Linked DNA regions of Oryctolagus cuniculus. The protein of the gene in region 1 interacts with the protein of each later gene in a pairwise test. Links are inferred from orthologs where the notes say so. Each region holds a gene or a part of one and is shown in the gene's direction. Other genes may lie near its edges. The genes, in order: ABI2, TRAF3IP1, KIFC3, ARHGAP32, KIAA1217, KRT20 and DTNB.

The links.
Region 2: the proteins of ABI2 (region 1) and TRAF3IP1 interact in a two-hybrid assay, tested with the Homo sapiens proteins (2 studies listed by BioGRID and IntAct). The link is inferred for Oryctolagus cuniculus from reciprocal best matches to the Homo sapiens genes ABI2 and TRAF3IP1.
Region 3: the proteins of ABI2 (region 1) and KIFC3 interact in binary tests that used the Homo sapiens proteins (3 or more experiments, as listed by UniProt). The link is inferred for Oryctolagus cuniculus from reciprocal best matches to the Homo sapiens genes ABI2 and KIFC3.
Region 4: the proteins of ABI2 (region 1) and ARHGAP32 interact in binary tests that used the Homo sapiens proteins (3 or more experiments, as listed by UniProt). The link is inferred for Oryctolagus cuniculus from reciprocal best matches to the Homo sapiens genes ABI2 and ARHGAP32.
Region 5: the proteins of ABI2 (region 1) and KIAA1217 interact in binary tests that used the Homo sapiens proteins (3 or more experiments, as listed by UniProt). The link is inferred for Oryctolagus cuniculus from reciprocal best matches to the Homo sapiens genes ABI2 and KIAA1217.
Region 6: the proteins of ABI2 (region 1) and KRT20 interact in binary tests that used the Homo sapiens proteins (3 or more experiments, as listed by UniProt). The link is inferred for Oryctolagus cuniculus from reciprocal best matches to the Homo sapiens genes ABI2 and KRT20.
Region 7: the proteins of ABI2 (region 1) and DTNB interact in binary tests that used the Homo sapiens proteins (3 or more experiments, as listed by UniProt). The link is inferred for Oryctolagus cuniculus from reciprocal best matches to the Homo sapiens genes ABI2 and DTNB.

Annotation. Positions count from the first base shown.
Region 1 is NC_091434.1:36,633,935-36,638,118, reverse strand, and holds part of ABI2 (abl interactor 2), read left to right. Parts: intron 1-1,106; coding exon 1,107-1,282; 3' UTR 1,283-4,184. UniProt on the Homo sapiens protein: Regulator of actin cytoskeleton dynamics underlying cell motility and adhesion. Functions as a component of the WAVE complex, which activates actin nucleating machinery Arp2/3 to drive lamellipodia formation.
Region 2 is NC_091434.1:2,081,162-2,085,345, reverse strand, and holds part of TRAF3IP1 (TRAF3-interacting protein 1), read left to right. Parts: intron 1-1,165; coding exon 1,166-1,309; intron 1,310-1,398; coding exon 1,399-1,812; intron 1,813-4,184.
Region 3 is NC_091449.1:41,301,025-41,305,832, reverse strand, and holds the start of KIFC3 (kinesin-like protein KIFC3), read left to right. Parts: upstream 1-1,825; 5' UTR 1,826-1,853; coding exon 1,854-2,075; intron 2,076-4,808. UniProt on the Homo sapiens protein: Minus-end microtubule-dependent motor protein. Involved in apically targeted transport. Required for zonula adherens maintenance.
Region 4 is NC_091432.1:122,591,683-122,595,866, reverse strand, and holds part of ARHGAP32 (rho GTPase-activating protein 32), read left to right. Parts: intron 1-352; coding exon 353-2,605; 3' UTR 2,606-4,184. UniProt on the Homo sapiens protein: GTPase-activating protein (GAP) promoting GTP hydrolysis on RHOA, CDC42 and RAC1 small GTPases. May be involved in the differentiation of neuronal cells during the formation of neurite extensions.
Region 5 is NC_091444.1:105,071,607-105,075,790, reverse strand, and holds part of KIAA1217 (sickle tail protein homolog), read left to right. Parts: coding exon 1-970; intron 971-1,484; coding exon 1,485-1,607; coding exon of another isoform or gene 1,608-1,622; exon of another isoform or gene 1,623-2,147; coding exon 2,148-2,621; 3' UTR 2,622-4,184. UniProt on the Homo sapiens protein: Required for normal development of intervertebral disks.
Region 6 is NC_091448.1:21,701,214-21,705,397, forward strand, and holds the end of KRT20 (keratin, type I cytoskeletal 20), read left to right. Parts: intron 1-123; coding exon 124-344; intron 345-1,826; coding exon 1,827-1,843; intron 1,844-2,716; coding exon 2,717-2,814; 3' UTR 2,815-3,551; downstream 3,552-4,184. UniProt on the Homo sapiens protein: Plays a significant role in maintaining keratin filament organization in intestinal epithelia. When phosphorylated, plays a role in the secretion of mucin in the small intestine.
Region 7 is NC_091433.1:177,292,133-177,296,316, forward strand, and holds part of DTNB (dystrobrevin beta), read left to right. Parts: intron 1-2,044; coding exon 2,045-2,130; intron 2,131-2,745; coding exon 2,746-2,859; intron 2,860-4,184.

The DNA of each region.
Region 1 (4,184 bases):
CCGGCCAATATATGCTTTTTTATTATTTATTTTATTATTATTAATTTGACAGAGTTACAGAGAGAGAGAGAGAGAGAGAGAAGTCTTCCTTCCATTGGTTCACTCCCCAAATGGCCGATCCGAAGCCAGGAGCCAGGTGCTTCTCCTGGTCTCCCATGGGGTGCAGGGCCCAAGCACTTGGGCCATCCTCCACTGCACTCCCTGGCCACAGCAGAGAGCTGGCCTGGAAGAGGGGCAACCGGGACAGAATCCGGCGCCCATATGGGATGCCGGTGCCCGCAGGTGGAGGATTAACCGAGTGAGCCACGGCGCCGGCCCCAGCAATATATGCTTTAACCATGGATAGATGGAGATGGAGGTTTCCCTGGACAGAGTTCTGGATGATACCAGAAAGGTGCAGGAGGCAGAGGGGCTGGCGTAGACTAGAACTCCACAGGGGCATCTGAGCGAGCTCTCAGGTGTCGCAGTTAAAACGAGCGGGATAAATGTGATGTTAGGAAGCAGAGATGGTCCGAGGGCGGGGTTGAAAGGCCCGGTCACCAAGTGATGGGAGCCGTGCGGATCACAGGGGAGCTCGGAGGAGTGCTGGCTTTCTTACACTTTGACACTGTTCCTGTGGACACATACAGCTGGTGACAAAATGGAGCACCTTTTGAAAGAACGTATCTACAGGTGGACTCCCCTCCTCCAAGCATCGTGGGAATTCGGTCTGTTGTCAGTCGCCTCGTAGGTGAATTCACCGCACTGTAGAATCTCAGTGCTGGAAGGCCTGCATTTTTCTTCCCCAGCGTGGAGCTGCAGCGCAAGCTCAAGTGAAGAGGTAGCCGTCTTCCTGGTTCTGAGGTCGTCTTCAAGGAGGCGCTTTCGCCTCTGTGTGGAAGGGTGAAGCTGACAACTGCCATCTGTACCGTGCAGAGCCTCCCCTCGGTAGGAAAGGGGATTGCGTGGTGTCAGACTGGGTACCAGGGAGAAAAGTGTACAAACTGTGGTCTTGTTTAGAAAGTCAGGCTGTTACAGAGATGCAGATGACAAGGAAGAACGGTTATCTGCATGTTTGGTTTTCTCTAAGAATAGTGACTTTTTATATCCTGTTTTTTCTCCCTTAGTTGTGGCAATTTATGATTACACAAAAGACAAGGAGGATGAGCTGTCCTTCCAGGAAGGAGCCATCATCTACGTCATCAAGAAGAATGACGACGGCTGGTACGAGGGCGTGATGAATGGAGTGACTGGGCTCTTCCCGGGCAACTACGTGGAGTCCATCATGCATTATTCCGAGTGACGCGCGGGGGGCTGTGCGGCCCTCGCAGGAACAGTCAGGTCTCCCCGGAGTACTCATGGCCCGGGGCGCCCCTTCCAAACAGAACGAAGGATACAAACGATAAAACGGCTTTTTTTTTTTTTTTTTTTAATCCCCGAGTATTGAAAACAAAAAAGCCAACTCTGAGCAGACGGGTCTTTCTGCAGTGATTGGTGCCACGCTGAGCTGTCGAGTGATGCGCCGTGACCGGTTCCGAGGTGGCAAAGCTGGAACCGCCTAACCGTGCAGCTGAGCACATCAGAGTGACTGATTCGGGACACTGTCTGGGATCGTTCTCAGGAATACTGGACACCCTCGATTCCTCCTCCCACAAAACCCGTGGCATTGGGTGTTCTCTGCCTGTGCTAAGGGGTTGGCTTCATGCCCAGTGGGTACTGGTGCCCGCACTTCCTTCCGCTTGGAGGAGGAGGAGGAAGTCGATACTTACACTCCCCGGTAACCATGGTTCCGTTGGCTCAGCAGCCTTGTTCCTCCTGGACACTGTAAATTCCGCATCCTCAACACCTGAGTGCGCCCAGCGAGTTGACCTTGAACGCACTTGTATCCCTTGTTCCCCAGTGTGTAGATGACAGGATGCTGCTCTGGGAGTCTGCAGACATGGCGGGGTGGGTAAGGACTGCACGGTGTGATGTACCACGCTGCCGGGAAGCAGCTGGGGTGGGGGCGGTTCCCGGGGAGGCGGTGGGAGGGTCCGAGAGCAAGCTGCTGCCTGGCCTCGAGGGCATCCCAAACCCTTGCCTGAGGTGCAGTTCTGTGGGGCCCTCCTTTTCCCTACATAGAAAGACCCTGTTCCCAGCCTCCTCCTGGCCACCCTGGGGCGCTGGGAGAGGGAGCCTCACCGTGATGGGACCCTGAGGGGCTTCTCAGCCCCAAGCCCATCTCACACTCAGAGCATCCTAGCTGGAGAGCAGCAACAGGCCTCAATGCTGACCCCCTCGCTAATTTAGAAGCAGTAACAAAAGAATTTTACTCCCATCTGTTCAGCTGTTAGGGTTCTACATGGAGTGGAGTTTGCAGGCCAGTGGCTTCCTTCGTCACACTTGCTGTCCCCTGAGTACTGGGAACCCCCGGCAAGGCACGCAGTGCAGGCAGGAACTTGAGTGCAAATGAGCAGGCAGAAGTCATGTTCTGTTGCACATCGCTGTGCAACAGACCCAGCTGTAGAGATTCCTGATCAAGACTTTGTGAAGTTATAATTAAGAAGAAAGGTAACTGGGCTTAACCATTTTGCTTCCTGATTTCCCCAGACTGGTCTTAGCTTTACTAACTTGCCTCCAGTCCACATTCCACTTCGTGCTTTTCTTGAGTCATCTTGATGTCCCTTAGTGTTCCTTCACAGTCAGTGCCGCGGGGCCTTCAACGCCATCGGACACCCAAACCAGACTGCGTGTGCATCGGGTAAACCCTGCTTAGTGCCGGCGTGCAGCTGGACAGACAGCTTTGAAATGACATCTTCCAGCTATATTTTTGAGTAGTTTCTTTGCTGAGAGCATTTTGTGGTTTAAGGTGTTTTGAAATCCAACAAGTAGCTCCCGGCTCCCCACCAGAGGAGACCCCTGTGCAGAAGCTGTAACGCGCGCACCTGCTGGACCCTTGCTGGATGGGAGTGTGCCAGATACTCGGTGAAGGCCTCTCTATATTTAACATCTGCGGTGGCAGGAGTCCACGACTTAGCCAGTATTTTCTATATTATTTGGTACTGTTGTGTGTGTGTGACTTTTGTTTAACAAATGATATTTGTTGGATTTTCTGCCCACTTTTTTTGTACAGTTCTGAATTCTATAGATTGTCTCAGAAGGATATAATGTAATGATGGGCCAGGCCTGCATTGGAGACTTTTAATGTATGTAATATTTCATAGATTGCATGCTATTAATAGTCTGTGAGGGTAATATTTCCTGTTGTGTTTCCCCCTTTATCTTCCTGTAAACTAAAAGATGGTATTAGGAATTCCAAATGAATGCAGAAAAATCTTACATGCTTTTAATAATTACAGCGAGGATGATCCAAGTCGCAGATCTGCTGAACAGCAAGCAACCATTTGTAAGGATAGAATCTGATGGGAAAAAGATTCTTCCCTCTGAAGTTCATTTAGACTGTGGTCATCTCATTATTACAATTTTTTTAAAAAGTCACTGCATAATGGTTTTTTTTTTTTTTTTGGTGTTAATATTCCAGAGTTGGTGGAGATATGAATGAAAACGCACTGTTTTTGTTTTTGACCTTATGGCCAAGACAATAAATTGGAAACAAAGTACCAGTGCATCAAAATCCAGACCTGAGAAATCCAGACTAATGTGTTTGGAATAAATACTAATCTGCTAAGACGTCTCGGTCCGTATTTTCTGTCTCTCGGCCTTTTTCCTTTCTCCCTCAGTAGCGCTTGCTGCTCTCACCTTAGGGCTGCGAAGAACTTGCTAACTCCGCTGTGTTGCTGAGTCACTGGGGATGAGCCCTTCTCATCCTCTCCTCTCCCTCCTCCGACTGTTTGGTCCCGGCGAGAGCAGCTGTTGTGTACATCTCCCCAGCACTGTGTGTAGCGTGGCTGTGCCACATAGCTGTGCTTTGTGTTGAGTAAATTGATTTTTCTGTTTGGGAGGCATCAAAATACAGTTTGCTGTGATCTTGGTTTCCACTTGAGTTTAGCAGGTGCCATTTCTGCACCTCTAGGAGCTACTTCCCCTTCTGTCACCTTCTCCTCCGTGGGCATTGCCAGGTCCTGAGGTCCACCGTTACGTGTGCAGAGGGTTTGCTGCAGGAATGGCCAGGTGACTGCCAGTCTTTGAGAAGAATGGGGCCTGTTCACGTCTGAACAACTTTGGCTAGGAACTCCCCACCCCAGTTACTTTGAATCAAAGGATTT
Region 2 (4,184 bases), about 35 Mb from region 1:
CTGAGCTAACTTGAGAATCCCAAAGTGGCTTTCGTATCCGCATCGGCCTGCCCCCCGCGGCTTCAATTTCCCTAACATTTTTCTCTACCCGGTATGTTTCCCCAAGCTTTCCTCCAACAATACTCCTCCCTCATTTCTCCTGGCCTCTCCCCACAGTCCGCATCCGAGTCTGTTTGTTCTAGCTTTCACTTTCGCTTTCGACCTTAGAGATTTCTCCCAGCTTCCCCCCGTAGTCCGTATCTGAGTCTATGCCTAGGCTTTCAATAGCTTCTTCCGGCACCTTTTTCGGCCAGCTTTTCCCTAGGCTGTTTGCTAGTCTCTCTCTCCGGTATTTTCCCAGTTCTTCCCGTTTCTTCCCTCCTAAGTTTCCTATCCGGCCTAGGTTTCCTAATCCGAGTCACGGCACCATTATGTCGCTCCCCCTCTTCGTGGAGGAACGACACAGGACCCTGCGCTGTTCTTTCGTCTGCTCGGCCCTTCCCGGGTTTCGGCACCATTATGTCGCTCCCCTTCTTCGTGGAGGAATGACACAGGACCCTGCGCTGTTCTTTCGTCTGCTCGGCCCTCCCCGGGTTTGCTGCTGGTTCTTCCCGGGTTGGCTACTATCCCTTCCACCTCCGTGGAAGGGCAGTTCCCCCTGGCCGCATTCCCCACTTCCGCAGGGGAGCGGCACACCGCCGGCCGGCTCTTCTCGGGGGCTGCACGGGTGTTCCCTCAGCTAGATGTTCCCCTTAGATGTTCCCTGGTGCATGCCGTCTCTCTCCTCCTTTATAGTCCTCCTCCGCCAATCCCAACTCGGCTGCCCACACGCCGAGTACGCTGCTCTCCAATCAGGAGCAAGTCCTACAGTTTATTGGTTGAACTGGAGGCAGCTGTGCAGAAGCTGTTTACTTCTCTCCCAGCGCCATATTGTGGGAGAGCAGATGCATAGAATAAGTCTTAATTCCAGTAACTCAGTCCAGTCCGGGCTGCTCCCCACAAGGGCTGGCATGGTCCTGCGAGGTGCTGTGCTTTGGCTGTGAGAACAGCACTTCCTTTCACGAGTTACCCTGTTCGTGCCCGTGGCGGCAGACGCCTGTTCATTGAACTCTCCTTGAATGCCGAGCCCCTCGTTTGCTACATGTGCTCATTTCACCTTTTGTTTTCTGACATGTGGACACACCAGCTCTCCAGTGAGGACGCAGTGAAGAGAGTTCTGTCTGGGGAGAAGGGGGATGTGAAGGGAAGGGTCTCCCTGACCTCACGGCCTCAGGAGTCGGACAATAAGCATGTGAGAGAAGAGGAGCCCAGAGGCCACAAGGAGAAAGAGGTGAGTCGCGAGTCGCGCACCTTGGAAGTAAGATCGCCTCTCTGTAGTTTGGGGAAAGCCTCGTAAATGAGATATATGTTCTTTTTTAGGACAGGAGAAACTCTGAAATAAAAGAGAGAAGCCCAAGCAGAGATCGAAAACAGAAAGAAGAATTAAAAGAAGACAGCAAACCGAGGGAAAAGGACAAGGAGCAAGAGAAGCCCAGAGAGCCCGAGAGAGACGGGCGCAGAGAGCCCGAGAGAGACGGACGCAGAGAGCCCGAGAGAGACCGGCGCAGAGACGGGGAGCGAGAGAAGGCCAGGGCCAGGGCCAGGCAGGAGCGGGACAGAGACGCCGAGCGGGACAGGGAGCGGAGGAGCGAGGCAGCGAGGGAAAAGGAGAGACTCAGGGGCAGGGACCGGGACAAGGGGAAGGACAGGGACCAGCGGAGGGTGAGGAACGGGGAGCACTCCAGGGACCCCAACCGGGAGAAGAGCCGAGAGCAGGATAAGCTGGAGAAGAAGGTGAGATCTGCTTGCAGACCCCTCCCCTCTCTGTGCCGTGTTCTCTGCCGTGCGTCCTGGCCTGGTGCTGGGACCTGGTGTTCAGTTTCGCCAGCTGGGAACGTGGCAGTCATGACCTCCGACGGAGGTGCAGACGTGCGACAGTGTTGTTGTCTCTGTCCCCGGCTGGTGGTTGTCTAATCGTTTCATTGAGGCATGAGTCAGTAAGCTGTTGTCGGAGTCCCAAGGCCGAGGCTGGCCGCTGACCAGCAGGGGCAGTACAGGCACTCCCCAGCAAGGCAAACGGGAGGGGTGAGGTCGGTGGGTCAAGAACACACCACAGCACCGTGGGTTCTGTGGAAGCAGGACCCGCCCTATTGAGGAAGCGTGCAGGCTTGTAAAGCTTACGGAGGACATGCGTGGTAGGGAGCCAGAGAAAAGGTCACGCAGGCACGGTGGACCACACACGGGCACCTTAAGCAAAGTATAGGGATCGCGCACTGTCCACGTGTCCGGAACTAAAGCGGACCTATCCCTGCCGGTGGTCTGATCTTATATAGCTTAACCGCGGCAGCCGCAGACACGCCCCTCGAACATCCGAACATCCGCCAGGCGCCATGTGGTAGTGGAGGTTTTAGGCAATGCCCACCAAGCTTTCAGCTCTACCTCACACCCAGCAGGGATTCTGCAGGAAGCCGAGCTCCGTAAGAGCCTCAGCCGGCGGCTTCTTTGTCTTGTGTGTGCTTTGGGTCCCAGCCTGGTCAGTGTCTGGCCCACGGGCGCCCTGGGAGTCCAGGCGTGGGATGACGATGGACTTTCGGATCAGGAAGCGCTGGGTGGAGGTGGCTGCTTGGTGGCGGCTGTGAGATGTGTGTATGGAAGGTCCATCCCGGGGGACTGGGCGGTGCTTGGAGGAGGAAGTCTCCAGTGCTTGCAGTTTAGAGTTCGGTGATCGTCCACCAGACGTGTAGACAGAGCCGCATTTTTCTGAGTTTGAGGTCGTTTGCCCACGTTTCCCCGTGTTTGTCCTGCATCTAGCCCCTTGGGAGTTTGTCTGCAGGCCACGAGGCAGCGTGCACCTTAGCTTTGTGAGCCGCACTGACTCCTGGTCTCCGTTGTGTGCCGCTGTCGTTGGGAGCACGGGTGTCATTGAGCTCTCCAGGGATTGTCTTGGAAGGCTTCGAGGCGTCAGCAGAGAAGTGCATACGTCTACGGTAGTTCTTATTTCGTTAGATTTTTGAGTAAATTCAGGTTTGCCTAGAAGGTTCTTTTGGTTTCCAGCGGTGTTTTCCAGACATGCAGGTTTCTTTTAGACTCATTGTTTAGGAGAGGAATTCAAACGTTTTATGGAAAAATGCAATTAAAAGATACTTTCAGAATTTTTGGTCCCTAAATAGATGTATCTCTAAGTCTATTTTCATGAATGACTTGAAGCACCCATGAGCGGCAGGGCTGTTTTCTCAGACGCCCACTCAGGCAGGGACGCGGCCTCGTCAAGCCTCGTGGGAGGGCGGTGGCCCCTCCTGGGCTCCCCTGGCTGGAATGGAGGAAGGGTTTGAGACCTGTGGTGCAGGTGGGCCAAGGGCAAGGGCAGGGCGTGGCCGGCGCCGCGGCTCACTAGGCTAGTCCTCTGCCTGCGGCGCCGGCACCCCGGGTTCTAGTCCTGGTTGGGGCACTGGATTCTGTCCCAGTTGCCCCTCTTCCAGGCCAGCTCTCTGCTGTGGCCAGGGAGTGCAGTGGAGGGTGGCCCAGGTGCTTGGGCCTTGCACCCCATGGGGAGACCAGGAGAAGCACCTGGCTCCTGGCTTCGGATCAGCGTGGTCCACCAGCCGCAGTGCGCCGGCTGCAGTGGCCATTGGAGGGTGAACCAACAGCAAAAGGAAGACCTTTCTCTCTGTCTCTCTCTCTCACTGTCCACTCTGCCTGTCAAAAAAAGGGGGGGGGGGCAAGGCGTGAGCTGACCGAGGCCCTCTCCTGCCAGGCGTCTCAGCCGTGTCTGGGGGCTGACCCCGTGGAATCCCGTCAGCTGGCCTTCTCTGCGGGGTCTGTGGGTCACAGCGAGAGGGGGTGCTGTCTGCACAGACTGCTGTGGCTTTGTCATTGGCGGTGTAGTGCTGTGCTGGGAGCCTCAGGCTGCGTGTCTTCCTGCTTGGGCACGTGCCGAGAGCGCTCCCCCCGGGACGCGTGGCGAAGCCTGCTCTGCGGGTGAGTTCTGGACGTCACAGAGACTCCCGGCTTTCGCCTCTCCTGAGAGCCCCGAGATGCTGACTGACAGCCCCGATGGGCTCTGGGCCTGCTGGCCGGGCTCCGTGCTACCTTCACCTTCACTGAAGTTGCCGAGGCTGGGACTTGTGTTCTAGTTAAGAGGAGGGTCCAAGGAGAACGTCTTACTG
Region 3 (4,808 bases), on another chromosome or scaffold:
AGGGTGCGCAGTGCACATTTAGGCTGGGGGTTTTTAAGGGGATGGGTCTTGCCTTCCCGCCTCTTCTCCTTCTCCTCCTCCTGGAACAAAGGACTTATTGGATGTAAATACAAAAAATTCCTTTCTGAGTTTCCCCCCTGAAGCTATCAGACAGGGGAAGCCTGTGGTTAGAGGAGGGACGGTTATCTGGTTATCCCGGGGTAGAAGGGGCAGGGCCCCCTGGAAGGTGGGGGCAGGGTGTCTGAAGTGCAGATACTGGGCCGCACCTGGAAGGTTGTCGGGATGACTTTGAGATGCGGATGCTGGACCTGGATGTCTATGCCTTAGGCCTTTGTCACACACACACAAGCTCATTTCTGACTTCTTACCTAATAGGCTTAGCCAATCAATGCACCCCTAGCGTATCAGGAGGTGCTTGGTGCTGTGAAGAAACCAGTGAACTCGGAGCATAGGAAGAGCCTTAGGGAGAGCTGGGGTGTTGGTGGAAGATGAAGGGGTGGGTGGGGCCCTAATTTAAATGAGGCAGTCAGGGTGAGGCTCCTCAAGGACAAGGTATCTGAGGTTAGAGTCTCCAGGGGGGAGGCACAGCCAGTGCAAAGGTCCTGGGGGCAGCTGGTGGGTCTTAGGAGCAGAGCAGAAGAAGATGGCGGCGGGGTTTTGGAGCACAGACATCGGGAGACCTTGGCTTTGAAAACCTTGCTGGGATGCAGTGTGCTTGGGCTTTGGTTTTCACAGGGTCGGTCTGGCCGTGGAGTTGAGTACCAGGGGCGGAGGGTTGGGGCTAGGGCAGGCATCCAGGCCGTGATGGTGGGAGTGGCACGTTGCAAGGCAGAGCCCCAAGGGTTGAAGCTGACAGATGTGGGGCACGTCCCAGGGTGAGAGTTAAAGGTGCCAGCGGGTTTCCCTCTGCATCTCTGGGGGGACGCGGTGGGGCAACGATTCTGAGAGCCCCTCAGTGTCACTGCTGCGAGCTGGGGCGTGGAAGGAAGCAGACGTGGGGGTGGCTGAGCAGGGCCGAGGTGCAGCCTTGAATGTGAAAACCCCCACTCAGATCCCAGCACGGCCCTGACCACGCGCACAGAGGCAGCACGGGCTTGTCCCGGGGGACAGCCCCCCACTTGCTGTCGTCCCGTCCTTTTCTCTATGGCTAGCGTGGGGTCAGTGCAAACCCCTGATGCCTTTCTTCTTCCGATTTTCATTAGAAAGTACGCAGGCTTGTTCTGAGCTGGGGGACATTTCCCAACCACCGGCTCACCTTGCTGCCCGTGGTCGGGGGAGCTTGTTCCAGGACCAGTGCTCTCTTCCTTGGTAGCCTCTGTTGTGGTTCAGCAGATCCTTCCAACTCAGGTCTCTTGGTCCTAAGACTGTTGGCTGAAGTTGCTCTTAGCCGGGTCTGGAAGGCCAAGGGTGCGACAGGATTTTGAGAGAATGAGAACTCGGAGACAGACTTGGACATCTCTGGTTCTCCCCTGGGTGTCAGGGGCCTGGTTAGCTTTATTCTCCCCGCCTGCCTCTTACACCCTGTGTTGTAATAATTCTAATTCTTCTCAAGCCTCCATGGGCTGCAGAAAACTGGCTAGGAAACTCACTCAGGGTCACATTATGAGACCCTCACTTACGACCTGGGTTAGTCCCTCCCTGGGAGCTGACGCTGAAGGAGCTGCTGTCCCCAAAGCCTTTTAATTGCTGAGCCAAAGGCTGAATGCCCGCCTTGTTCAAGGCCAGAGCCACTGCTTGGTCCAACGAGGAATTGTTGAACCAAGCAGAAAATTCCAGGGCACGGGCTGCTGTCTGTTCCGGCATCGAATACCATGCTCTACAGCGGGTCAGAGCGAGCGGGGCTGGGTGCTGCCATGTTTGTGGTTCCAGCCCTGGTGTGGCTGGGCTGGATCAGCTGGGCCCGGCCGAGGGGGCAGAGAGAAGAGAGGGAGACAGAGCCCAGCCCTGGCCGGGAGCAGGCTCCTGGCTGGCGCTGGTCTGGCCCTGGTGTCTCCAATGAAGATGGTCTTGCCAAGCTCCAGGCCCCCTCCCCAGGAGGCATCCCGGCCACACAGACCCAGCGACCCTACCTACAGGTAAGGAACAAAAGGAAGACTTTGAAGCACACCTTGCCCTGGGTGGGGGCGGGGCTCATGTGGCCTCTAGTTTAGGGGCTGGCGTATGGCTGTTCTCCCCTAGGTCCTTCCCATCTATATAAAGCTCATCAGAGTTAGATCTTCCTAGCATTTTTTTTTTTTTTGACAGGCAGAGTGGATAGTGAGAGAGAGAGACAAAGAAAGGTCTTCCTTTGCTGTTGGTTCCCCCTCCAATGGCCGCCGCGGCCAGTGCGCTGCGGCCGATGCACCGCGCTGATCCGAAGGCAGGAGCCAGGTACTCATCCTGGTCTCCCATGGGGTGCAGGGCCCAAGCACTTGGGCCATCCTCCACTGCACTCCCAGGCCACAGCAGAGAGCTGGCCTGGAAGAGGGGCAACCGGGACAGAATCCGGCGCCCCGATCGAGACTAGAACCCGGTGTGTCGGCGCTGCAAGGCGGAGGATTAGCCTACAGAGCTGCGGCGCCGGCCGTTTCTAGCATTTTATACGCTCAGAAGCACCTGCAGACCGCTGACCCACAGAGACCAGGTTTTTCTGCCGATGACACGGCCAGGGCCAAGTTCAGGACCCAGCTGTGTTGCTTGCTGTGTTGGGCCAGAAGCAAGCATTTCGATGGCTCTGTTCCTCAGTTTCCTCCTGTGTACAACGGCACAGTAACGAGCGGCATGCAGTGAGGAGCGGAGTATTGGCAATCGGCACTCGTGAGGGTGACTGTGGGAGAAATCCTGGTAGAGCGGGGTTGGGTCTCTACACGTGGCCCAGGATTCCCTAGAACCCTGGTATCTGGAACGTTTTACCCCGGCTTGCCTGTGAGACAGTCTCTGAAATTCTTTCTAACGCAGCTCCTGGCACAACAGAAGTGTTCCATGGCATTCATTCAGAGGGATTTGAAAACAGTTGTGTAGTCTGGGGGGAGGCTCCTGGCTCTGCCCAAGGCCGGTTAGATGATTTTTTAAAACAAATTTATCAGTGCCGGCGCTGTGGCATAGCAAGTAAAGCCGGGTGCCTGTTCGAGTTCCAGCTGCTCCACTTCCGATCCGGCTCTCTGCTATGGCCTGGGAAAGCAGCGGAAGATGGCCCAAGTGCTTGGGTCCCTGCACCTACATGGGAGACCAGGAGGAAGCTCCAGGCTCCTGGCTTCAGATTAGCCCAGCTCTGGCTGTTGTGGCCATCTGGGGTGGGAACCAGTAGATGGAAGACCTCTCTCTGTGTGTCTTTGCCTCTGCCTCTCTCTAACTCTGCCTTTCAAATAAATAGGTAAAACTTAAATAAAACACAACAAATTTATCTGAAAGCAGAGTTAAGAGGTGGGGGGGTGCGGGGGGCAGGGAGAGATCTTCCACCTGCTGGTTCACCAAGTGGCTGCAAAGATCAAGGCTGGGTCAAGCTGAAGTGCAGCCCGGAGCCAGGAGCTCCATCTGGGTCTCCCACGCGGATACAGGGGCTCAAGCACTTGGGCCATCTTCCACCACTTTTCCCAGGTGCATTAGCAGGGAACTGGATCAGAAACAGAGCAGCTAAGGCTTGAACCAGCACCTATACTGGGTGATGGCATTGCAGGCAGTGGCTTAACACCCTGTGCCGCAATGCTGGCCCGTGGTTTCATGATCTTGGGCAAGTACAAAACATCTGCTCGACCTCAGTTTTGGGGCTCCTTAAAATGGGGCTACAGCCTTGCCTCCTCACTAGGTTGTTAGGATGAACAGATAGTGAGAAGGGCTTTGGCTAAATGCTCAAGTTCCCAGCGCGCCTGGACAGCGTTACCGAGATACCGTTGAGTTGTTTTGTTGCTGTGGGTTCTTGTGGATCAAAAGGCAGCGCCTGGGACGGGGCTGGGTGTGAGGTTTTGAGTGATGCCTGCTGTGTGGCAGCCGCTTGCATGTATTATTTACAAGCTTGCTGTCCGGCTCCACTTGATGGATTGATGCCTTCACTCCATAAATATGCATTGAATGTTTGCTCTGGCCCAGGTCTGTCCCTGGCACGGGGGATCTGACCCTGAACAGTCCAGGAGGCTTCTGCCCCCTTGCAGTTTGCATTCCTAGTCCGGGAGGCAGACAGAAAACAAGAGAAGTTCAGTGATAAGTACAATGAGGGATTAAAACCCAGGGAGGTGGGAGTGGTCAGGGAAGACCTCTTGGAGGAAGTGACATTTTGAGACGCAAGGGTAGATGGGAGAGACTGTTTGCAGAGGGGATAAGGGGGTTGATTGGGGAAGGTGGTAAAGACCCCGAAATGGGAGCGAGGCTGGCCTGAGAGACCCCTGTGGCTGGAGAGGCGAGAGCAGGGGCAGAGCCGGCAGTGGAGGCCCATGAGCAGATGGCACAGGATCTCGCGGACAGGGTAAGGAACCGGGACTTTGTGCTAGTGTGACAGGGAAGCCGGGGGGGGGGGGGGGGTTGCGCCAGGGCACTTCCAGAAATTCACGTGGTACCCAATCCTGCGGCGAGGGATTCTGGTGTGCTGGGGGAGCCGAATTTAATGAAGACAGACACACCTGATAGGCCAGGCATGTATCGAGGAAAAACCAAGAAGCGTGTCTGTTCAGGCTGGAGTTGGTGTGGATAGGGGTTCGGGCCCCCCATCTTTCCTCCCTTCCTCCCTCCTCTGGGACCCTGCTGGGAGGAGGGCTTCCTGGGCGTGGGGGTTCCTGAAACTCCTCCTGGGACCTCTCGAGCACCGCTGGATGGGAGCCAGCAGCCCTCTGGGTGCA
Region 4 (4,184 bases), on another chromosome or scaffold:
GACTAAGCTAGGCCAATAGCCTGGGTATATACAAATATTTTTAAGTTCAGCAGTACTATTTTAAATCTGTTTTTGTCTTAAGTGAAGATGATGTCATAGTCAATGTTAAGTCACATTTAAAATCTATCATAAACGAGAAAACTTTGGACTGTCCTCCAAAAGTGGCGATGGCTTTTGTGCCAAATGGTAGTATAGGCCTTCTTTTCCTGCTAGTGGGGACAGGTCCAATGCAACCGTGTAGCTTGAGAAAAGTTCCAAATGGCTAAAATAGCCTCTACTTGTGAGTTACAGATATAGTAGTATTTGGCTCCATGGGAGGCATAACACTCATAATATTGTCATCTTTCATTAGGTTCAAGGTATAGTTCCAGCTCCAGAGAGGCCACCTGAACCCCGAGCTCTGGATGAGCCTACACCTGTCTTTGTCAGTGATGGTAGTACTGCTGCCCAGTGTCCCATGGCTACCGCTGCTCTCCAGCCAGGCCTGCCTGAGAAAGTGCGGGACAGCGCCAGGGCCCCACTGCTGCACCTGCGAGCCGAGTCTGTCCCCGTGCACTCCTGTGGCTTTGCTGCACCCGTACCCCCTGCCAGGACGGCAGAGAGTAAGCTCGCTGCTGTCATGCACTCCAACAGTGCTGATGCCACCAGCAGTCCAAATTACCACTCCTTTGTCACTTCTTCATCGGCCTCTGTAGATGACGGGATGCCTTTGCCACCTCCTGTGCTACAGCCTAAGCATGCTGCTCAGAAAATAGTGTACTCCTCCTCCTTCGCTAGGCCTGATGTCACCACCGAACCCTTTGGTCCGGAAAACTGTTTGCATTTCAGTATGACTCCAAACTGCCAGTACCGTCCCCAGAGTGTACCTCCACATCACAATAAAGTGGAGCAACACCAAGTGTATGGTGCCAGATCAGAGCCACCAGCCTCTGTGGGGCCTCGTTACAACACCTATGTGGCCCCAGGAAGAAACGCATCTGTACACCACTCCAAGCCATGCAGCCGGGTCGAGTATGTGTCGAGCTCTTCTGTTAGGAGTACTTGTTACCCTGAAGATATTCCACCATACCCTACCATCCGGAGGGTCCAGTCTCTCCACGCACCCCCATCTTCCATGATTCGCTCTGTTCCCATTTCACGGACAGAGGTTCCCCCAGATGATGAGCCAGCCTACTGCCCCAGACCCCTGTACCAGTATAAGCCATACCAGTCTTCCCAGGCCCGCTCAGATTATCACGTAACTCAGCTTCAGCCTTACTTTGAGAACGGACGGGTCCACTACCGGTATAGCCCCTATTCCAGTTCTGCTGCTGGCTCCTACTACAGTCCAGACGGGGCCCTGTGTGATGTGGATGCCTACAGCACAGTGCAGCTGAGACCCCTCCACCGCCTACCCACTCGCGATTTTGCTTTCTACAATCCTAGGCTGCAAGGGAAGAGCCTGTACGGTTATGCTGGGTTGCCTCCTCGTCCACGGGCCAACATGACCGGCTATTTCTCCAGCAATGACCATCATGTAGTCAACATGCCGCCAGCTGCTGATGTAAAGCACACCTATGCCTCTTGGGATCTTGAAGACATGGAAAAGTACCGCATGCAGTCCATCCGGAGAGAGAGCCGTGCTCGGCAGAAGGTGAAAGGGCCTGTCATGTCGCAGTATGATAACATGACTCCAGCTGTGCAAGATGACCTGGGTGGGATCTACGTCATCCATCTGCGCAGCAAGTCAGATCCTGGGAAAACTGGACTTCTTTCGGTGGCAGAGGGCAAGGAGGGGCGGCGCCCAGCCAAGGTCATCAGTCCCGAGGGAGATGACCGCTTCTACAGGAAGCACACAGAGCCAGAGTTAGACAGAACCCACAGCCACGCAGGCTATGGCAGCGCGCAGGGAGAGAAACCCTCTCTCCCACAGAAGCAGAGCAGCCTGAGGAGCAGGAAGCTTCACGACATGGGTTGCAGCCTCCCTGAGCACAGGGCACATCAGGAAGCAAGCCACAGGCAGTTATGTGAGTCGAAAAATGGGGCTCCTTTCCTGCAGGGAGCTGGACAGTTAGATTACGGGCCCAAAGGAATTCCAGACACGTCGGAGCCAGGGAGCTACCATAACTCTGCAGGGAAACATGGCCCACCCGGTCCGGAGTCTCTGAGACTGAACCACAAGGAGGTGAGGCTTCCCAAAGAGCTGGAGCGGCCTCGAGCCAGGCAGCCTCCGGCCTCAGAGAAACACCCCAGAGACTGCTACAAGGAGGAAGAGCACTTCACGCAGTCCACGGTCCCACCTCCTAAACCCGAGAGGAGTCACAGCCTCAAACTCCATCACACCCAGAACGTGGAGAGGGACCCCAGTGTGCTGTACCCATACCAAACACATGGCAAGCGCCAGAGCAATATGACTGTCATGTCCCAGTATGACAACCTGGAGGATTACCACTCCCTGCCTCAGCACCAGAGGGGGGGCTTTGGAGGGGGAGGTCTGGGGACGTACGTGCCCCCTGGCTTTCCCCATCCACAGAGCAGGACATATGCGACAGCTTTGGGCCAGGGGGCCTTCCTGCCCACAGAGCTGGCCTTGCAGCATCCTGAAACACAGGTCCACGCAGAATGAGCCCTGGGAGCAATAGAGTTGAAGCAGTCTCTGCTGGACAGTGGACTGGTCTATTTTTTTCAATAACCAAAAAGATTAAAAAACAAAACAAAAAAAAACAAAAAACAAAAAAAAATGCTACAACCCCCTGGTCACATTTAAAAAACATAATAAAAGTAAACAAATCAGCATCTCCCCCCCCCCCACTTCCCTGCCTCATTACCACCTCTTCCATCTATAGACTGTATCATTTTTGTCTTTTAAAAGCGAGCTGAATGATTGTAAAGCATTGTGTTGGAAACTGAGTGAAAACTTTGTCAGAGACCACACTTGCCACATAGGGCTAATTTGTAAGAGCCTGAGGGCTGCCTATAGCTGAATTTGAACCTAACTCTCTCTTGGCTTCTTAGTCTTTGCTAGCAAGTCCAGAGCAGTTTGCATCTGTTTCCTGGTGGGCTCGGGCACTTACTGTTGTGTTCCCCCTTCTGCAGCTACACAGCTTGCCCAGTGGGATGCTCCACTCTTCTCCTTCATTAGCCCTGGCTGAGAAGGGGCTTGTGTGTTAGATGAGAGTGGGAGGAAGCTCTTTGGTCCTTCAGATCAATCAGTCAGACTATTAGAAGCATTACGGTAAAAAGGAAGGCCATCTTTAAATTAAACATACTCAAGAGTCATCATAAAACGTGGGACCGTTCGACTCAGGCTGAACTGTATGTTCTTCCCAGTCTTTCTTTTCATGCTTGTTCCTCACAGTTCAAGAACAGGCTCGTGCCACTGCAGAAAGGTTATTTTGTTTGTTTGTTTGTTTAAGTTAGAATTTAAGGAAACTTCTTAGGTGGGAGAAAGTGAAGCTCGCATTGTCATTGCACTGTGTTAGCACCAGAAAGCTGTTGTCAGTGCTTTGAATGCCTTGCCTGTCTTCAGGGGTTTCATGCTCAACAATGTTTGGTAAATGAGAATCTCAATGCAAATATTTCAAACCCCATTTGTTCTCCTAAATTAGCAGCTTGTTTTTTTTTTTTCTTTAATTAAAAAAAATCAACATGGTTTGGATAAACCTGCATTATTTATCTTGGCCGTAAATTTACATGTTAAATTTTGTTTCTGAGCCAGGATACAGGATCCCTGGGAATGTAGCTGTGTTGTCTGTTAGGAAACTGCTAGTTCCCGCAATAACCACTTCTACACAGCCCCTCTTCAGTGGTTGGCTTTCCCAGGCAACTGCCATTTATGTCCCGAGCAGGTACATAGACTTCACTTCCTCTGGGCTTCTGAGATCAGTCTTAACATAACTGTCATTACACCAGCATTTCAGGTACAGCTCTTTATAACTTCGTGGACATGTGACTCTGTTTTGAAAGCTTCATTCCTTATTATAGTAAGAAAAGGACACCTCTCTAGCTCAACTCCATTCTGTTTCCTGAGTCCACCTTGCCACAGATACACCAGGCTAGACCAGCAAGGCAGTCCTGAATTTACAATCTAAGGTTAGGTTATCATTTCATTCCATAACTCTTAATAATACTTGAGTTTTATACATTCATACATTTTAAATACTCACTTTATAGAAGACACTAGGAGATTTCATTCCATTTAATGG
Region 5 (4,184 bases), on another chromosome or scaffold:
CCCGAGCGAGGGCAACATCGCCTTCATGATCACCAGGACGGCCGTGCAGGCGCTGTCCAGCGGCGAGGTGCAGGACATCGTGAGCCGCAAGGGGGAGGAGGTGCAGACGGTGACCATCGACGGCAGGCGGGAGGGGCCGGGGCCCGAGGAGCCCGTCGTGTGCCTGGACAGGAAGCCCGTCATCATCATCTTCGACGAGCCCATGGACATCCGCTCTGCCTACAAGAGGCTGTCCACCATTTTCGAGGAATGCGACGAGGAGTTGGAGAGAATGATGACAGAGGAGAAGATAGAGGAGGAGGAAGAGGAGGAGAATGGGGACCCCGTCCAGAGCAGTTCCGCCCCCGGGCCTGCCTCCACGGTGGCCTCAGGCACTCTGGGGACAGCACAGCCCGCCGAGAGCCCGTTCCCGCTGCCCTCGCCGCTGGTGGCAGGGAGCAGGGCCCCCAGGAAAGCCGACCTGAACGAGTCGGGCCCGGGAGACGCTCTGAGTCCCGAGGGCAGGGGCGATGCAGCCGACGAGCAGTTTGACAGCCCCAAGAAGAAGTTCAAATTCAAGTTCCCCAAAAAGCAGCTGGCCGCGCTCACGCAGGCGATCCGCACCGGCACCAGAACAGGGAAGAAGACGCTGCAGGTGGTGGTGTACGAGGAGGAGGAGGAAGACGGCACCCTGAAGCAGCACAAGGAAGCCCGGCGCTTCGAAATCCCCAGCTCGCAGCCCGAGGGGGCGCTCGAGGGCCCGGCCCAGAGCTCACGGACCGAGGAGATCCGGAAGAACACCTACCGGACCTTGGACAGCCTGGAGCAGACCATCAAACAGCTGGAAAACACCATCAGCGAGATGAGCCCCCGAGCCCTCGCCGACTCCGCCCACGCGGCCCACGGGCCCCCTCCCCACACCCTGCTAGTGCGGGATGACGTGCCCACTGCCCCAGAGCCCCCCACGCCAGTACCGCCAGCTCCGCGTAAGGTACCGTGGTCTGGCGTGGAGCGAAGCGGCAGCCGCTTTCCTAAATCTGCCAATAATTGCCCTTAGCAGAAGGTGTCTGGTGATTCAGTCGCTTCCTAGCGGGCAGCTCGCGTGGTTGTGGGTGCTGGTGCTGGTGTTGTCTGTGCGCCGCGAGGCCCCGTCTGTCCTGCTGTCTCCCCACCTGCCAGTCCAGCGGCCTTAGGTGTCTAACAGCTAATCGAGTGTGTGTGCACCTGCGGCTGAGCGGTGTCGGGGACACGCCAGGGTGCTGGGTCCGCCGTGTGCTGTGGAGATGGACGATTGCTCTGGTACTCACATTAAAATCCGTTGGATCAGTAGTGAGCGGTGGATTCTGTCTGGTTCTTCCGATTAACCCCAGTCGGTGTCTCCTCCGTCTCTCCTGCATGCCGGGCGGGGGCTCTGCACCTCGGGCTTCTCAGCACACAGTAGGGCAGCCTCCGGGACAAGGCGCTCATACTCTCCCCTTCCCCCGTCTCGCCGCTCTTTCCCGCAGGGCTCCGGCGGGACCCCCCAGACCAGCAGAATGCCAGTGCCCCTGACTTCCAAGAGCAGACCCGGGAGCCTGGACAAAGCCGGCAAGCCGTCCAAGCTGCAGGACCCGCGCCAGTACCGCCAGGTAGTTTTGCCTTAACCCCCAACTTGGACGGACACTATCGCGGTTCAGCAAGCCGTAGCGTAGAGCAGTGCGGCCGGCGGCCGGCGGGCTCGGGTGGGCACGAGGCAGGGCTAGCAGCCGCTGTTGGAGCCCTCTCCACGCTCTTGCACGCTCGCGACGAGACAGCCTTGACGTTGGCGACTCCACGTTTTAACTGTGCGCGCGCTGCCAGGCCCGCTGGCTTTGCCCTGAGCGTGCGACCAGGACACCAGGGAGAGACAAGCCCAGCTGTGCGCACGCGGCCCTCGGTCCCACACTAACGTCCTTGAGTCAGCAGCGCCTTAACTCTGCCGGGGGGGTGGGGGGCGCCGGTTCTCGGCTCCCTGTGCTGTGCACCTGGGGGGAGGGGGCTCTGGCAGGTGCACGGCACAGACAGCTCAGGCCTGGACACGGTGGTGGTGTGTCTGTGAGTGGCTCCCGGGCGGGCCGTGCTGTCCCTGTGAGGGGCTCGCGGCCGGCTTCTGACCCTGTCTCCCCCTCCCCCGCCGTCTCTGTTTGCAGGCCAATGGAAGTGCTAAGAAAGCTGGTGGGGACTTTAAGCCTACCTCTCCCTCCTTGCCTGCCTCTAAGATCCCTGCCCTGTCCCCCAGCTCTGGGAAAAGCGGTTCTCTCCCCTCTAGCGGTGACGGCTCCAGCCTCCCTAACGCGCCCGCTCCTAAGCCATCGGCCGCTTCTAACCCTCTCAGCCCCTCCGCAGGACGGCCCGCCCCCGCCGCCTCCCTCATCCCCTCCGCCTCTAACGGCGCCTCCAAGTTGGCGCACGCAGGGAAAGGCCAGCACCTGCCGCTGCCCCCGCAGACTCACAACGGCCGCGCCGCCCCTCCCGCGCCCTCCGCCTCCCCCGCCTCCCCCCCCTCCCTGAGTCACGGCGCCAAGGGCGCCCGGACGCTGCTGGGCCCTGGCCTTGCCGGCTACAAGGCGCAGAACGGAGGTTCCAGCAAGACCGCGCCCGTCGCCGCCAAGGAGAGCGCCTAGTCCGGGGCGCCGGGCCGGGAGCACGGAGCCCGCAGCCGCCGCCCGCCTCTCCACCCGGTCGCTGTCGTGATTCCGCGTGTTGCCCGTCCGTGCCAGTGCCCCCGTGAAGTGAGCGTGTGTCTGTCGCCGGGGAGGGTGAGGCGCAGGTGCGTGCGTGCGTGCGTGCGTGCGAGAGAGACCCGAAGACGCGCGCCAGGCGTGTGAAGCAGCGTGAAGCCGGCATCGCGCGTGTTTTGTATGAAACTATGTTTCCCATCGGAGACTGGAAGCCATCAGAGGTGCCCGAGTGTGACTATACAAAGCGTGAAACAGTCTACGGAAGTTCCTTTTATTTTAGTGTTAGAGCTTTATTACAGATTTCTATTTTTGTCAGAACTTCATGGTTCCTTTCGAGATCTTTTTTGCCAAGACATTTTGATACTGGAGCATCGTACACGCACCTGCCCTGCGCTCCACGCCGAGCGGGCGGGCTGCCGTGGGCGCCTTGGAGAGGGCGCTGGGGACGCTGGCCGGGGGCCGTGCGCTCCGCTTGCTGCCCGCTTCCCTCTCGCTTCCTCCCCTCCCCTCCTCCCCCTCCTCCTCTCCCCGTCCCGTCCTCTCCCGCCTCCTGCTCCCTGTCCCCCTCTTCCCCTCTTCCCCCTCCTCCTCTCCCTCTCCCCCTCCTCCCCCTCCCCCGTCCTCTCCCTCCTCCACTCCCCTCCTCCTCTCCCCCTCCCCGTTCTCTCCCTCCTCCTCCTCTCCCTCCTCCCCCTTTCCCTCCTCCCCTCCTCCTCTCCCCCTCCCTGTCCTCTCCCTCCTCCTCCCCCTTCCCCCTCCTTCTCTCCCTCCTCCCCTCCTCCCGCTCCCTCTCCCCCTCCTCCCCCTCCTCCTCCCTCCTCCTCCCTCCTCCTCCCGCTCCCTTTCCCCCTTCTCCCCCTCCCCCCACTCCCTCTCCTCCCCCTCCCCCTCTTCCTCCTCCTCCCCCTCCCCCGTCCTCTCCCTCCTCCACTCCCCTCCCCCTCCTCCTCTCCCCCTCTCCGTCCTCTCCCTCCTCCTCCTCTCCCTCCTCCCCCTTTCCCTCCTCCCCTCCTCCACTCCCCTCCTCCTCTCCCCCTCCCCGTCCTCTCCCTCCTCCTCCTCTCCCTCCTCCCCCTTTCCCTTCTCCCCTCCTCCTCTCCCCCTCCCTGTCCTCTCCCTCCTCCTCCCCCTTCCCCCTCCTTCTCTCCCTCCTCCCGCTCCCTCTCCCCCTCCTCCCCCTCCTCCTCCCTCCTCCTCCCTCCTCCTCCCTTCCCCCTCTCCCTCCTCCCCTCCCACTCTCCCTCCTCCCCTCTCCCTCCTCCCCTCCCCCTCCTCCCCCTCCTCCCCCTCCTTTTTAAACACAGATCCTCTCATCATGGTCTGCAGCATCTAACCCCTTCCTTGGTTTTCCGACACCGAGTCAGCCACGCTCTTGCGTTGTGGATGTGAAATGCGCAGCGTGCGGTGGTGTACGCGATGCCGTTCTGTGACTGTATCCATAGAGACAGAACCCGAGTCCTGTAGGTGCCGGCACGGAGGAGCCCACACCAAAGTGAATTTCTATGC
Region 6 (4,184 bases), on another chromosome or scaffold:
TATAAACACACGTGAGTCCCCCAGGCTCCAGCTGCAGAAGTACTCCTCAAAAAGAGTTTAAATTGAGCCACTTCTTACACCAAGTCCCTAAATAACAAAGCCCTCTTTTTCTTGTGCTCACAGAAAGAATCTCTGGAGCACACCCTAGAGGAGACCAAAGCTCGTTACGGTAACCAGCTGGCCACTATTCAGGGCCTGCTAAGCTCTCTGGAGGCCCAGCTGATGCAGGTTCGCAGTGACACAGAACGCCAGAACAATGAATACAACGCCCTTCTCGACATAAAGACTCGTCTTGAGCAGGAAATTGCTACTTACCGCCTGCTTCTGGAAGGAGAAGATGTAAAGTAAGGATCATTAACATGGGCTGTGTGTATCAATGTCTAGATACTGTCCTATTTTACTGTCCTTGCTACCCATGACCCAATGCAATCCCTAACACAAAAGCAATTATACACATACCACTCACAACAACAAAAGTACACCAAAAAGTACACACACACCCAAAACACCAAATATGGCCTTTGTACCTGAGGTTATGTGGTAGGGCTAAGTTAGAAGATGGCTATCCAAATGATACCAATTGTGTTAAGGCCAGTTTTTGTGATTAAAGTATAATTTAAAGCAAAGTTACTTTTTTGAAAAATTCTTATTCCGAGCTCACAAATTAAATAAGAGACCACAGAGGTCCACAGGAACCAGCTGGAGAATCGTGAGTATTGCTGAAGAAGCTGTCTCGCAAAGATCACACCCAAGAACAACAACAGGAGAACACAAAATTTAAACTTCCATTATGAATTTGCTATTTTAATTACAAAAACTTCTAGCATTTGTCAACCGGGTCAATTCTGAAGCTATTCATTTTTCAAGTTAAAAAGCAAGACACTCAAATAAGTCAGTTGCAATTAGAGTGGAGGGCAGGCATTTGGCACGGCAGTTACGATGCCACGTAGGACACCTGCACCCCATGCTGGAGGGCTGGATTTGAGTCCCAGCTCTGCTTCCAATTCCAGCTCCCTGCTAATGTGTACCCTGCGAGGCATCAGATGATGACTCAAGTACTCAGTCACTGCCATACACATGGGAGACCTGGATGGAGTTCTGAGCTCCTGGCTTCAGCCTGGCCAGTCCCAGCTGTTGTGGGCATTTGGAGTTAAACCAGTGAATGGAAGATCTCTCTCTCTCTCTCTCTCTCTCTCTCTCCCTCTCACCCTCTCACCCTCTCACCCTCTCACCCTCTCACTCTCTCACTCTCTCCGCCTGTTAAATACACAAAAATATTTTTTAAAAGAGTAAGACATTCAAGTTGTAAATAACAAGCATTACCAAAGGGAAAGAACATGAAAACCCACATCACTCACTTTGCTTTGAAACACAAAATGGCAATGTATTCCTTAGCTTCTTGTTGTTCTAACTAAACTACATGAGAGACGCTTCCTAAGAAGAAAGAAGGTTTGCTTCTGCTTCCTTTGGAGGTTCACAGCCCAAGACCAGGTGGCCCCTTAGGTGTAGGCATCTGGGGAGGCTGGAGGGTGGCAGAGAGTATCACATGGAGAGCAGGAAGCAGAGATGGAGGGCACACACATGGAGACTATCCCCAGGTGGGCTCTCCTGATAATGCCATCACAGGGCTCCTCTGTAGCAACTTGATCCAATCCAATCAGTTCCTGAAGGCCCCTCCCCCACCACAACCCACCAACCATTAACCCATTAACCATAAACTTAAGACTTTGGGGTTTGACATTAGGCATTAGTTTGGGGAAACCAAATCCCATTCAAACTGTAACAGACAATAACGCTTTTTTTTGTTTCTTTTTTTTTTTTTAAAGCAACCTGGAAGAGAGAGGTAAGATTTCCAAATTTTTGCACATTTTCTGTAACATTGGAATTTCAGTAGCCTTCTGTTAACTGTCACTGGAGGAAAGTAGGGTGGCCAGTTCTCAAGTGAGCAGATGAGACCCCAGGGATTCTGAAAGTCTCGCGCACAGCATTACAGTTTCATGGGGGAGTTCTGACAGGCTGCCCATAACAGGGCAGTGCTCTTGACCTGTGCTAATGCTGTCCTAAAGCTTCCTGAGACTCTGAAAAGAGAAAAAAAAATCAAACGTGGGAATTTTGCTTAATTCAAGATACCATATTTCTATGTAGGCACGGGAAATGAAGGAAATTTGCAAATTAGAGAAGAGGGGACCACTGGCTGCACTTGTTTATAAAACGAACTTCAGGCAGGCGCTGTAATAGGCTAATCCTCTGCCTGCAGCGCCGGCACACCAGGTTCTAGTCCTGGTCGGGGCGCCGATTCTGTCCTGGTTGCTCCTCTTCCAGGCCAGCTCTCTGCTGTGGCCAGGGAGTACAGTGGAGGATGGCCCAAGTGCTTGAGCCCTGCACCCCATGGGAGACCAGGAGAAGCACCTGGCTCCTGGCTTCAGATCAGCGCAGTGCGCCGGCCTCAGCGCGCCGGTTGCAGCGGCCATTGGAGGGTGAACCAACGGAAAAGGAAGACCTTTCTCTCTGTCTCTCTCTCACTGTCCACTCTGCCTGTAAAAAAAAAAAAAAAAAAAAAAAAAGAAGAACTTAAAATTGTTGAAGAAAGAAAATGAGTTCAACATTTTCTCCTAAAAGAAGGAAATGAGGACAAAAATAATCGTTTAAATTAGCATATTGTAAGTCAGCAGAGTCATGTCCCAAAGCTAACATTTAATGTGTAATGTGTATTCAGATAAAAAGAAAACCAGGAAGATCAAGACAGTTGTGGAAGAAGTAGTGGACGGCAAGGTTGTGTCATCTGAAATCAAAGAGGTGGAAGAATCCATCTGAACAGCTACCGGCAGGAGACGCTGCTGAGGCTTCCAGGGAAGTGCAGCTATAATTGTTGCTCCCTACAATAAAACGGCCACCCAGAAGCACTATTAACACCTTGGAGTAATCAGAAACGGCGGTGGGGGGGGGGGGGGTCCTATTAGTCAATCTCTGTAATTGAATATAAATGTTTCACTCAGAGGGGATGGAAATCGCCTACGAACATGAGATTTAATGAGCACTGGAATATTTAAAGTGTTGTTACTGTCATCTGCATTGTGAAATGTATTAGTTACAAGCTACAGACCACAAAAATCAATGTGTAGGTAACAGTGCTGAAAATTACAGTAGCTTTCAATTATGCTGAATCTGACAAAGCAGAGGAATCTATACCAATGGCAAATCAGCTTCTCTCTTCTCTTTTCCTGTTTCTAAATTGTAAAACCTCCCCTTGGGAGCCCCTGGAGTCTTCATGGAGCTGTTTCTGGTCAGTCCCACTGAAGTTTTAACATCCGTACAGTTCCACAATTCTGCAACCTTTGAGCCACGGCTGCTTTTTCCCACTGCCTCTACTGCCTTTTAAAACTCAAGTTGGTTCTGTGAATAATCTGAGTCAAATTCCAATCACAAATACCGAGCAGAATAAGAATGAAATCTGCCATGCTTGAAATGGGAGTAGATTAAAATCAAAACTACTGAAACGCTTCTCGAGGCAGAATGCATCTCCTTTTGACAATAAACTGTGTAAATCATCAGGTGCTCTCTTTCTTTACAGAGTAAGCACACATCATGAAACGTTTCCCGCCATTTTTTGTGACAGCTTTATTGAGAGGTAACGCGTACAATTCAGTGGTCTTCAGTGTGTTCTCAAGGTTGTGCAGCCATCGCCATTATCTAATTTTAGAACATTTGCGTCATCTCTGCCACCCAAAAAAAGCCCCCACACGTTAGCAGTCACCCCCAGCACCTCACCAACCTCACGGATCTCCCCCTCTCTATGGGTTTGCCTGTTCTGGATATTTCATATAAATGGAATCGAAGACTGCATCTTTTCATAATTTTATTCATTTATTTGAGAGGCAGAGCTACAGAGAGGGAGAGACAGAAAGAAAGGTCTTTCATCGACTAGAATTCCATCTAAATGGCTGCAATGGCTGGGGCTGGGCCAGCCTGAAGCCAGGACCTTCTTCTGGGTCTCCCACATGGGTGCAGGGGCCCAAGCACCTGGGTCATCCTCCTCTGCTTTCCCAGGCCATCAGCAGAGACCTGGATCTGAAGAGGAGAAGTGGGGACAAGAACATTAGATGCTGGCACCACAGGCGGAGGCTCAGCCCACTAGCCACAGTGCCCGGCCCAGACTGTGTGCTTTTGGACACAGCACTCACTGG
Region 7 (4,184 bases), on another chromosome or scaffold:
TGGTAAAAAGCTTCCACCTAGATTTCCTATGCTGTTTCGGCCCTGTGTATTCAGAAAATGCCCCACGGGAAGAACTGCTTGTTGAATCTTCCAGCTCTACACAGGAACCGTGCCTTCTGCTTCATGGTAGATCATGTTTCAGGCAGAACTGAAAATGTGCAGGATGAAGTGTGGTCCTCGCCGAGCCCTCGCTGAGAGCTCTCTTTTGGGTAGCGGAAGGAAACGTCACCCAGCCAGTCATTCCTTCCTGCATGCCGTGTTAACCGATTCCCGGATCAGAGCAAGTGGATATGCAAAGCACAGCCACATGATTTCTCCCGAGGAGATGCACAGACAGCCGTGAGCACGTGAACGTTCACTCACTGTGTCAGTCGTTAGGGAAATATAAATAGAATCCACAGTGAGCTGTCACTTCACACCCACAAGGACGATTATGGTCAAGAGACGGACAGCACAAGTGTTGGCGAGGATGTGGGAAATCTGCAGCCATCATGTGCTGTCATGGGAAGGTAAAGTAATGCAGCCACTTCGGAAAACAGTTTGGCAGTTTCTCAAAAAGCAATTACCATCTGACCCAGCAAATCCACTCCTACATATATACCCAAGGGAAAAAAAAAAAACAAAAAACCCAAACATAACTGTCTACCTAAGTGTTCATAGCATTACTTAACATAGCAACCCAAATATCTATTAACTATTGAAAGGATTAGTAAAATATGGTATATATCTAAATAGCAGAATAGTATTCAGCCATAAAAAGGAATAAAGTATTGATACATGCTACAATGTGGATCAACCTTGAAAACATTCTGCTAAGTGAAAGAAGCAAGACATAAAAGGTCACATAATGGGGGCCGGCGTTGTGGTGCAGTGGGTTAAGCTGCCGCCTGTGACCCTGGCATCCCATGCGGGCACCAGTTCCTGTCCTGGCTGCTCCATTTCCAATCCAGCTTCCTGCTAATGCAAAAGGAAAAGCAGTGGAAGATGACCCAAGGGCTTGAGCCTCTGCATCCAAGTAGAAGACCTGGATGAAACTTTTGGCCTTGGCCTGGCCCAGCCCTGGCTGTTGTGGCCATCTGGTGGGTGAGCAAGCAGATGGAAGACCTCTGTCTCTCCTTATCACTCTGTAACTCTGCTTTTCAAATAAATATGTTTTTAAAAAAAAAGGTCACATAGTGTCTCATTCCATTTAAGTAAAATGCCCAGAATAGGCAAATCCAGAAAGTATGGTGTGAGGGGGAGAGGGAGAGGAGTTGGGGAGTGACTGCTGCTAATGGTCACTGTGGGTGGGGGAAATATCCTGGAATTAGTGTGATAGTTTCACAACCTCATAAATCCACTACAGACCACTCAAGCGTACGTGTTAGAAGAGTGAGTTTAATGGTATGTAAGTGATAGTTCCGTTTTTACAAAAACTCACATGTATGACCATCACCCCCACAAGGATGGTGAAAATGAGGACAGTAACCAGTGTTGGTGAGGTGGCAGCGCACATGGGACGCTGGGTTTGTGCGGCCACTTTGCCACGTTCGGGTTCAGCGGTTTCTCAGAGGTCAGGTAGAGTCACCGCAGACGTCAGTGATCGCACCCCTGGGAATTGGCACGCGGCCTTGCAAATGAGAGCTCACAGCAGCCTGGCTCGTCACAGCCCAGAGCCGGACACAGCGGGACACGTCCCAGCAGTGGGAAGGAAGGGGCTGCCGGCTCAGCCTCTGAAACCAAAGACTACCTGTTGTGTGATTGTGCTACGTGAAGTTTCTAGAAAAGGCAGAGCCAGACAGAACGCAGATAAAGCGGCAGTTGGAGGTCAGGGTGGGGGCAGGAGACGGCAGACCGGCCGGGGGGGTCTCTGGGGTGGGGGACATTAGAAATCACTGATGCCAAGGGGGTCTCTGTGGGGTGGGGAGCGTGGAAATCGCTGCAGCGACAAGACTCGCTGACCTGCACTCTTCAACACGTGGGTATTTCTCGGGTGTACTCTCCTTCAGAATGGGTCGTTGGGATATGTGAATGGGGACCAACCACAGCTCTCTCCCCACTTCAGACTCGACCTCCCACGGACCTGAGCTTCAACTTTGATGCCAACAAACAACAAAGACAGCTCATCGCAGAACTGGAAAACAAGAACAGGTAAGCGCTGGGGCCAGGCCGAGCCGCAGGCCCAGGACTGCCCATGACACCGGGCTCCCCTTTCCTCGCAGTGGATAGAGGCTGGCCCAGTTCCGGCCCCAAAGCCCCGCTCCCCTGCCCCTCAGTTGGGTTCTTTTCCCCAGGCCGCCTCCTGGCTCCCGGTGGTCCCGCTCCCGATCCTTCTTCCCGACTTCCCGCCAGCATTTTGGTCCGGGTGCTCGGCTCGGCCTGTCCAGGCCCATGGCGCTCCACGTGACCGCCCAGTGTCTCCTCAGAAAGTTTTGTTTTTTACCAAGCCATTTAAGGACACGGGGAGCAGACACACAGCAGACAGAGTACCGGGGTGGGAGAAAGAAGTGGGCCTGGGCCCCTTGTCCGGAGGCGCCGCCGGGTTCTCCGCCCCCTTCCCGGGAGAGGGTCCGCGGGGGTCCTTCGCCGCCTGTGGAGACGTCCCTAGGACTTTTCCTACCACCGACGGGTGGGTGCGTTGCGGGAAGAGCTGGGGGATGCGGTCTTAGCCACGCTCCCGCCGCGGGGAAGCCGGCAGGACCTGGCGGGGTGAGGCTCTGTGTGGACGCCCCGCGCTGAGCAGCCGGCCCTCGTCCCGCCCCGCAGGGAGATCCTGCAGGAGATCCAGCGCCTGCGCCTGGAGCACGAGCAGGCGTCGCAGCCCACGCCTGAGAAGGCGCAGCAGAACCCCACGCTGCTGGCCGAGCTGCGGCTGCTGAGGTGAGCCGGGCGTCCGCGGCGCGACTGTAGCCCCAGGGAGTGGCTTGAAGGAGGCTGTCGGGAGAGGCCCTGGGGGGATGATGGTTCCCTTTCCCAGCAGTACCACGTTGCTTCACAAAGCAGGGGGAAATGTTCAGTTAACTTTGTATTGGTGCAACCAAAAAATAAATAAATAAATCCGTGCCTACAAAGAATCTTCAGAACATTCCAGGGCAATGGGGGGTGGGGGGGGGGAGCTATGCGTGGATTTCAAAATTCTTTTGCACTAAGATAAGCCTGTCTCTGAGTTCTGGTCTTCCATGAACTTCTTGAAGCACCCTGGTGTGTTCCCGTGGCACGCCACAGGCACGGCCACCCAGGCTCATCCTCTGAGACAGGGGTTAAAGGGGAACCCCCCGCACCAAGACCGTGTGTGTCCCAGGGACCAAGAAGCTAAGGAGGTAGGATCAGGACAACTTGCAGAGGGGCTGAGGAAGTCTTTGCAGGAGCGTGAGCTCACCCCACATTAGGGTCCCACTTCTTGTCGTCCCCAGAAAGACACGTGTGGACTCTTTGGTGGACTCTGTGGAAACCAGGTTTAGTGATTTGAATGATTTAGTGGTCTCAGCAGATCTCTGGGTTTCCATTACCGTATAGGTCCTTTCTGCCTAGGTTGTAGCATTTGACAGTCCACAGTTGGTTTGCACTGTGCTGTCATCGGGGATTCCACACAGCAAGTACCCTTTTTTATCATTGTTTGTCTGGTTAGTGTGGCTTAGGTCAGTTAGCCCCTCCACCACAACTTTTCCTGTAAAATGGAGATTATTTCTTTCCATAGATATTCTGTTGTTTACATTTAAGTCATCAATAAGTAAGTCATAAACTGTGTAGATGAAAACCATTAGAGGTACTGAGATTCCTGTTCTGTTATTAAAATGCACTTTTGTTTCGGTGTTTCGCTGGGCTGAGATCTGGTTGCTCTGTGGCTGAGTGTCGCACATTTGGGATATGAGCGTGGTCTCAGGAGGAAGTGGGAAGCCCTGCTGCTGTGGCGAGCAGAGGCTAACCCTGGGCCACCAGCAGTAGATGCCCTGCCTTCTTTCCCTCGTCTCAGCTCGGGCACGAGTGACTCTTTGTATCTCAGAAGCAAAACACTGTCATCTGTGAGTGCAGGTGTTGTTGGAACTGGGCTGGCTGAAAGTGCTCAGCTAAGCTGGAAAGATCTAAACACCAGCGCGGATTCAGTAGGCACAGGCGGAGGCCGGGGTGTCACCTAGGTCAGCAGGAAGCAGGGCTTAATCCAAGTCCAGGGCAGTCTCGAGCTTGAGAAAGCGGAGGCTTTCAGT